Linked DNA regions of Drosophila melanogaster. The protein of the gene in region 1 interacts with the protein of each later gene in a pairwise test. Each region holds a gene or a part of one and is shown on either strand. Other genes may lie near its edges.

What was found.
Region 2: the proteins of hwt (region 1) and CG14443 interact in a two-hybrid assay, tested with the Drosophila melanogaster proteins (one large-scale study listed by BioGRID).

What each region holds. Positions count from the first base shown.
Region 1 is NC_004354.4:12,565,306-12,570,134, forward strand, and holds the start of hwt (heavyweight), read right to left. Parts: upstream 3,148-4,829; 5' UTR 2,984-3,147; intron 1,532-2,983; 5' UTR 147-1,531; coding exon 1-146.
Region 2 is NC_004354.4:6,631,933-6,636,730, reverse strand, and holds CG14443 (uncharacterized protein), read right to left. Parts: upstream 2,773-4,798; coding exon 562-2,772; downstream 1-561. UniProt on the Drosophila melanogaster protein: Probable ATP-binding RNA helicase.

The DNA.
Region 1 (4,829 bases):
CTAATCGTGTCGGTGGATTGAGGCGTGGCTGCAGTGGCTCCTGTGGCTGGGCCACCGATGATTCCATCGCCACCTGCTGCTTGCTGTGCTTGCGACTTGCTGGTGTTGCGCAAACTGTGGTTTACTTTTCGCCACATGCGCTCCATCTTGAAAAATCCGCTTGATTCCTTGCGGCGATTCGATAATGTTTTCTTGATGAGGGGTATATTGTTGAAAGTGATTGTTGCATACGAGTATATTTGTTAGCTTATTACAGTTTCCATTACTCTTTTCGCTTTACCCCAATAAATAGTTTTTTTTTATATATTTATTTAATTTTTGGTTAATTAAAGATATATGAGAATTTTTTCAGTTAATGCCAAATGCGTTCCAGCTGCTTAATTTCCTTTGTTGGTTCATTGTTGAGTATTGGTGTGCGTCCTTGTTGTGATTTGTGGTTGAATATCTCTTGCTGCTCAATACAGATTCCGTTAGTATTTTGGTATTTTTAAATACTTTAATTGTTGTAAATATGTGATTTAATGTGAAATGATTAGCAAATATTTTGGTTTTTTACCAGTTTGTTTAGTAATGCTTTAAATGTATGGAAGCCGTAGATCTAAGATACTTTCATTTGCATAATCCACAACATTTATTTAAATGTAAGCCTTTTCGATAATAAGAAGTGTTTTTGCTAAAACGTTACGTTAGTTTAAATTTTGTGCGAGTTTAGTCGGTGTTTACCATTACTATGTATTAATCCTAAAGATTTAAAGTTTTTGATATTGGCAAGCACTTTTTTTATTATTGATTAATTTATATAGTTTATTTCAATTACCACATGTTTTTGAAGAGTTTTAGCCATTGCTAGGAAGTTTTTGGTATTTATTTTCAAAACAGCTAGTTGTTAACCTTTTCGTTGTTAAAGTTCTTTCTATTTAATAGTTATGTTTGATATAAGATATTGATTTCATTTAAAGTTGTTGTGGAACAATTTGAATTTCCTTTATTGGTTTTTGTAAACTTATTTTGTTAGTTGGTGTAAATTATCGTTGTTGAATCTTCTTGGCAGTTGTTGATAGTCGTTCATTCCCCTGTTGATGTAGATAGTTGTTTTTACCTATGGGTTGATTTCATGTGGAGTTCTTCTTAGTTGTTGTTTTATTTGTTGTTCCTTTTATGTTGTTTCCAACCATATTTATCAGTTTCTGCGGGTATCCATTTTCCTATTGGGAAATTTCAGCTAGCTACGAGGGTTGGGACATTTTCTAGTTTCTTGTTTGCCACACTCCTTTCGTGTTCTGCTTTTTCTTCCGGTCTTTCTCCTCTTCGGTGCGGCTGTTTTTGCTGTTATTGTTGTTAGCTTATTGTTTTTAGGTGGCAGTGATTAGTTGTTGTTGCGGTTGCTGTTGTTATTGCTTGATTGACTTTCATCTTGGTTTACCTTGGATCTCGTTCAAATACACAAAGGGACACTCATTCGATTATACAGAAAAGCTACTCAGCAGGAACTATGCATTGTTGTTGTTGTTGTCATTTCGATTGTTGTTGTCTGCGAAAAGCGGAAGCGGAAAGTAGAGAGCATGAATTTGAGTCTAGGACTCGACACGTATGTGCCCTGCAGTTCCAATATTCATCGCTACTCAATCAAAACCACCACAAAATCGCACTTCGATTGTTTTGTGGGAAATCTTGTGCTTTTTTCTAGATGCTTTTGTGATACTTTGACAAAGTAATGAATTCTTAGGACATGTGAATGCTAAAATCATCACTAGTTATCGTACAAACTGAGCGGTGATTGAGCGCTTGTGATGAATGCTAGGTGGTGATTCATCGCTAAAAACGTAATGAATGAAAATACAGGGTACATATAGGTACGTTTGTATGTGTATGCTTAGCGTGCTTGAGTTCCTGATTGTGTGTAATTGTGTGGGTGAGTGGCCTGCACTTTTAGGTTAAGCACGCGCTTCACTCATTTTTCCTTTTTTTTTTTTGTTTTGTTGTGTTTGTTATTTGTTTTATTTGCTGCCTAAGCCGCTCTATTTTTGCCCCTATTTGTTGCTGTTGTTGCTTTCTACATTGCACTTGTGAATGAATGACGAATTTTTTTGCCACTGCCTCTCCACTCACTCTCCACAGCGCTCTCGCTCTCTTCTGTCTCTTGCTTGCTCCGAAGAGTTACGGTTACGGTTTTTCTTTTATCTCGTTATCAGCACACTTTTTGCACTTCTTTTAATAGCAATTCTGCTTCTTTCATTTTCACCATCTAATTTTTGCACACAATTTGTGTAATTTTGCGTGGAAAATACACTTATTAAACGCTGCGCATTCCACAACTACAACGCAGTTGTTGTCTCGTTGTCAGGTTGTTGCTGTAGTTGTTGTTGTTGCTGTTGCCGTTAGCGCCTGGCTGGCTGCTGGCACGTTGAGTCAACATCATTTCAGTTCACCCAAAAAAGACAAAAAAAACAGGGACACTGTCTCTCTGCACAGTGGGTTACTTTGGCTTGTCAAGTTTATTCCAAAACAAACAAAATTTGTAAAAAACATAAAATAGATTGTATTTATATTACCTAAAATATATTAATTTTTTAAAAAAATGTAACACTATAATAAAATTTTCTCAAATTGTTGGAGATGTGAAACAAAAATAACACCCACTGTGCAAGTCAGAGAGAAAGGTTCAAGAGAGAGAGCTAGAGAGTGCGCTCTTGCCGCTTAGGATGTGCATATGGTCGTGCGTGGGCGCAAGCCATGTTACGGTATCCAATCCCGTTTCCGTATACGTGTGAGTTGGTTTTTTTTTTTTATGGCTGTATTCAAAGTTGTGTCCTGTGTATAACACAAACACATTGCGCTGCAGAGGAATATGCTCGTACAGATAGAGAGAGACTGCGAGTGAGAGCGAGAGGAAGCTGCCTGCTTAACCGTTTTGACACCTTTTGTTGCCTATATTTTGGGGCCAGCACACACACACATACTCCCACACAGGAATTTTGAATACCGGTTAAAATTTGGGAAAAGACACACTGCCGAATCGGCCAACGGTTAACGATAAACAATCAATCGGAATCCACAGGAATCCACATTTTTGTATCACACGAGAGCTGAGCAGAAGCCGCTGCCCGTTTATTGGCAACGCGCACGCACAAATAACGGAGCCACTGTGGCAAAATCAGCGGCTGTGAAAGCAGCCTCAGCAGCTGAGAGCCGAGGACACGAGGACTCACACCCGAAGTCGAAACGATTGCTCAACCGCTTTGGTATCAGGTCGGTAAAATGTAAACATTGGGAGTATCGCTTGCCGGGCCAGAAAGCGACAGCGTAGAGCCGTAGATAGAGAGCACTCTTGCAGGACGATTGCGCAGCAAAGCGACATCTGCCAAGACTTTTTCGCAACTAAAACGATAAAATTCTCAAAAACACGACCAACGGAGGGCGCTTCGGTGGTAAATGCATAGAAAATTGAGAATGAATTTACCAAAACGATAAGCCAAGAGCTTTCTTTGTGGGCAAATCGCAAAGAACACCACCAATAGCGGGCGCTGTGGTATTTTCCACTTAGAAACTTATATTAACATTCATATATTCCCGAAACACGTGTCGTATGAGTAACATTGCAAATGAAACACAGGTCGTATGTGCGATATTTACTAATAATATCACTCATACGCCGTGTTGTTATGCGTTGCATGTTTTGCTTATAACATAATAATAATCTATTAAAAGCAAGAATTTGCGATATTTTTCTCAGGACGACCAACCTTTCCTTCAATATCAAATTATAAAAATGTCTTGGATCGCAACAATCATCCGATAAGTAGGCAATACTTTTTGGTAGGTTGGATTCTTCCGCCCAGCAAATAAAACATTCACGACTTTTTCGATTTTGTATAGTATTTTTAATTGTTTTGCCCGTCATCAAAGTCCCCAATCAATTAATCAATTATCAATTAATCATTGCCAGCATCCGCTATCGATTAGGTATTCGTTTTCGTGTCTGCTGCATCCGGTGTTTCCTCTTAGTTGTACCACTTGTGTGTCTATCTTTAGTCGTTAAGTGTATATGTAGTATAAAGTTGATACTCATGCTAAATCGAATCGACTTGGTTTGCTTCGTTCAAAAAATGTTATAGGCTATGCAATACAATTACGTGATCGTTAGTTGACTTTAACATTTAGTTGACTGACATCAAACACACAAATATAGTTTATATTTCTTTTAGTTTGATTTTTTTTTTTTAGGTTTTTTAATATGTATGTACTCGTACTTATATAGGGTTGATGCATTATGCGATATCTAATCCGTATTATATTTAGATAGCACTACTGTTTTACACACACACGCACAAGGTTTACAAACGTTAGTTATTATTTAGTTTAGTTTTGTTGTAAAGAAAATTTCGATTAGTTTTCTTCTTAGACTTAGATTGCTAAAACGTTGGTATTGGCCTATTGTATGATTTCTTTATAAATTGTTTTTCATTTTTTTCCATTTTTCTTTTATTTGTTTTTTTTTTTCTTTAATTGGGAATCTCATTTTTTTTTTAATTGAGATCGTTTTCTGGTTTGCCAAAGTGCTAAGCCTGTTCAAGTTTTCTTAGCTTTTTGCTTTTCATGCATTTTCCATTTTCGTATTTCCGATTTCCAGGATCTCATGCTCATCTTGTTGTTCTTCATGCTAGGCTATATCACAAAATGTGTTTTCTTTATCTTTTTGTTTTTTTTTGTTCCAACTGCTCTTCCGCTCGAAGAGAAATCAAAAAAATGTATAAATCTGCATTAAACTCAGTATTTGTGCTAACAAAATTAGTTTCAAAGCGAAAAAACTACTCTAAGCTATGGTACTT
Region 2 (4,798 bases), 5.9 Mb from region 1:
GGGGGTTTGCTGGCTGACTGGCTGTATAGAAAATATTGACCCATATATGTCAGAATTTGAACGGTAGGCGAACCAGCGAATTGGTGACAGAAGCCCAAATGATTCGATATGGATCGAGATCTAGGCGGATTTTCACAATTTATAACGATAGAAAACGTATTAAGTTTGAATATCCTATGACGGTTCTTAAAACTTTAAGGTACGCATAAATACATAAATGGCACATGTAAATATCATAAGGGATTTAGTATGAACTGAAACCGTATTTGAATATTGATGCGCCTGCCATGCATTTTACTTAGCTGCACTTCACTTGCATAACATCACGTCTTCTGAGCTCTGGATGCACAACTTTCTTTGCGGACGTGCCATCCATGCCTCCCATTCGTCATTACCCCATTTTTTAGTCCCCCCCCCCCTCCCAAAAAAAAAAAAACCATTTCAACTGGCCTAGTTAAATCAATAAACATTTAAAGGGTTAAATCCATTATACATTAACAATTTAAGTTAGTTAAGCCATCAAAATGTTTGCCAATAACATATATATCCGCTATATCGACCCTAATGCATGCGATTGTAGCGTTGCGGACGATGGCGCCTTCGTTGACGGGGACCAAACATCTTTTCTTCAGCGAGCTGAAGAAGATGCGGTCCAATTTCTTGTTTACAGATCTTAAGAAAATCGACCACTTCCGTCACGAGCTTGTAGTTTGCCATGGTAAAGAAGCTGATGACCTCGCAGTTACGGTTATACGACAGGCATCCCGTTCTGCTCATGCGTTGAACATACTTATCAATGTTGTCCGGGAAATCATAATTGATCACATAACGAATGCCTGGCACATCCAAGCAGTTCGATGTCATTTGCGTGGCCACAATGATATTGTAGGCGCCAGTGCCAAAATCATGGATTATTCCTTGATTTTCTTGGGCAGTGCGTCCACCATGGATGCCCTCGCAGGGTACACAATTCCGGATCAAATCCACCAGTTCTTCCACGACCTTTTGGCGCTTCACATAGATCACCACCTTACCGGGAATATCGCTTGTATCGTAAATAGCAGTCAGCTCCTTCATAAGGCGTTCTACTTTCGATAGCCCATTGACTACCTCCACCCGCTGGCGGATGTTTTGTAATCGCACGCCTATATTGTTTATTTCACCCACGCGAATTGCGGTGTATTGGCCCAAAAACTTGTTGGCCATCCGTTTCAGATTAGATGACCACGACGTGCTGCTGACGATCAATTGGGCATGCGGACGTAGACGGCATAGTAGTCGGCAAATGTTACCCTCTAAGCCCACATCAATCATGCGATCAATATTGTCCAGAACCAAATATGTGCAGCGTTCCAGTTCTACAACATGTTTTTTGTTATCAATCATTTGAAGCAGGCGACCAGCAGAGGCCACCAGCAGATCGCATTCGGCATGACCTTGCCATTGACTGTTGCCCAAGAGGCAATGCGTCCTAAGCTCGAGAGGATTTGTATAGTACAATACCTCTCTTTGGACCATGACAGCAGCCTCACGGCAGTCCACCAATATCAAGACAATCGGTCCTTTCTTGTGCTGCATTAATCCGCGCTGATTGTGCATCTTCATTATGCCCGGCAATAGATAGCCCAATGTTTTACCCGTACCCTTTCCAGAAATCATCACAATATTTTTGCCCTCCTTGGCAATCGACCATGTTTGTGCCTGAATGGGCGTGGGCCCATCATAGCCTTGATCCTCCAGTTGCTGTAATATGGTTGCATTGAATCCGCTGCGCTCGAAACTCAGCACAGGCTCCGGAAGGTTTCGCATATTCCAGCTGGTCAAGGTGATATTGTGGCGTTTCCGATAATTAGCGGCATTATTATACACCTCATCCATCGGCTGCTTCCAGGTATTGTAATTACTAGGGCGGCTTGGGTTTTTGGATTGGTCCTGATAACACAAAGTATTCCGATGGGGACTGCGGCTTCTGGTGAAGGAGCGGCTAACCAAAATCTTTTGAATGGAGCTGCAACTCATGCTCCTCGATTGACTCTTCTTCCAGGGAGTGCGCATTCCGACCCTCCACGAATTGCGGCCGCGATTGGACGGACTTTTGGGTTCTGGACTCCCGTACGTCAGATCATTTTGGGTCTTCGAAGGACAAAAGCGCTTTTGCGGTAGACTGCTGCTCCTGCTTCTTGATTCTTTATTTTCACGAGAGGTTTTCACGGCCTTGAAAGAATTTGGCGATTGCCAAGTTTCATGAATGCGAAAAACAGCGCTTCGCATGCGTGGCCTCTCTCCCGTATCGCTACCGTGAGAACTTGATCCCGTAGTGGAATCCGAATCGGATGACGAGCCGGAATTGGAATCGGATGAACTCGATTCGGATCCGGAAGAATGAGCAGACTCAGAACTGGACCGCAAATGGGATTTTCCTCTAAACTTGCCATTACCCATGCTCCTGCTTTTCGACCGGGATTCGCGCGTAGACTTGGAAAATCCGCCAGCAGAATGCGGACCACTGAAACTCTCGCTCCTGATTTTGAAATTTGGTTTCTGTCCCTCAATTCCGTGTTGTATTGTGAAAAGCCTTTTCGTAACGAATTTGGAGGACAAGACAGAGCTTGAGGATTTTAAAGATCTGGACTGACCGCTTATGTCCGAAGCGCTGGAGCCCCAAATCGAAGACTTCGTACCCTTAAGGAACGGCTTTTTCTGAACCTTTTCTGCATCGGTTTCGTTGTCTTTCCAGTTTCCAATCACCAGTTTCTTAGCTTTCTCACACATTTTCTGCAGCACTTATTTGCGTTTGTTCACTTCCAATTTTTGCCAAGGCAATAAAAAAATCTCCTTACGAACACAGCGAAATGCCACGTGTTATGAAAAAAGTTGACAACTCTAAGCTTTGGTGTTGGTTAATTTTCAGTGTGTCCTCCTCTTAGTGTTGGTAAATTTAAATACATTTAAATTTAATGAAATAAAAAATTCCCATATGTGTTTGTTATTGTTCTTAATAAAATGTAATGTTATAAAATGTAATTTCTTATTAAGGGGCATGAACTGAGGTTTGAGTCCGTATTAATCTGGAAGATTAATAATTTAAGTGGACTTTTTATGGTCTTCAATATGCTTAATTTCCCGAGTGCAGACTGTTCCAGTTCCGGACTGAGATACGGATACGGGTTTGTACTCCGCTGGCGGAAGTTCAGAGCGCTCTTACTCAATCGAAAGACCCACATTGGGTGGGTTATCTGCCGTATAATTGGCGAGTGTGAGTGTCTGAATGTTTGGTCAATTAAAAGCATTCGCTGGCTTTTTTATCAAATTCAATTAGCCGACGACGAAAGCAAAACAAAATCCAAAAAAAAAAAAACCAAAAACGCCGCAACAAAGTTGCTCAATGCGGAATTCAGAGGAGGGTTTTACCATCTCTCTAAATAAAAATCATAAAACTAAAAAACAAAAAATGAATAAATAATATAAAGTACACATGCATGCATATGCGAGGAGTTCTAACTATAGAAAATCCGTATAATTAACTAGATAAATTGGCAAGCAATTGGCTGTACAGCTCGTTAAGGCTAATGATCGTCGGACAGCTAACGATCTCCTTTGGCTAATTGGCCAACAGTACGGAACACCCCTCCGCGACCCGGTTTTCAGACCACCCTTCATTTAATGTGGCCATCAAGTCGTAATTACGCTCGTTGTTGAAACGATGAAGACATCAAATTGCATTGCATCGCCTTTAGAATTGCTGGCCATTCAAAGAGATTTGTTTTGGTTTAAGATCCCAATCAGTCCGGAGTTTCAATTAAAGTTCCATTAACGCTTCGCGACACACACAATTATCAAAAAATTATATTTATGCTTATGACATTTCCGGCAGCTCCCCAGTTACCCAGCCCCTCCACACTTTCCACCAGTGCAAAATTTATGCTCCCCTGTCTGAGTCATTTCATTTATTTCGAGACAGCGCAGACAGAAGATCAAAGCGACTTCATGATTATGCTGCACGCATATCCATCACCATATCGAGCTCGAGCACTCGCCTCGGGGTGGAGTTGTCTATGGATCCATGGATGCACTCGAGGATTGGGGGGGGGGGGGCATGTGTGTGCAGGTGCTGGTGCAGGTGAGGCTGTGGCTGTGCCTGTCGCTGCTGCTGCTGGGATCGCTGTGTGTGGCTATAGTGGTTGGGGTAGTGGCTAATCGGCACTAAGCGTACAAAAACACGTGACCAGTTACCAAGTTGGTGGATTACTTATAAAAATAGTTAGTCTCAAGCTAAAATCGATGAAAAATGCTCCACAAAATGTGCCATATAAAGTTTTAAAGTTTTTTTTTTTTTAAATATCCTTATTTACTGCCATTTAAGGTCACTCTATACAGTATTACTAAACCATAACGACATTGCCCAACACTAACTTACTTTATTTAATTTGTGCGCCGACAACACATTTCTATGCAACTAATGTTGCACTGGGCATAAATTCTCGGCTATGTTCCCCGAAGAAAATCCACACACACACATCACTGGGAAGAAACGAGAGGAGATCCACGCAGCAGGAGACCCCCCAAAGGGGGCAAGGCGATCTCGTTGGCGATACGAATCCGTAAAGCAGCAGCAAAAAACAACAAGACACACAAAAAAAAAAAAGCAAACCAAAACCAAAACAACAACAAAGCGGCCAAGTAGGAAAAGAGAAAAAATAACTGCAACAACGGGGCAAGAGCAGAAGTAAAGACAAATTGTCTACGGGTTGAGGTCTTGCTATTGGCCTCCAGCGTGACGATGTCGGGTGCTACTGGC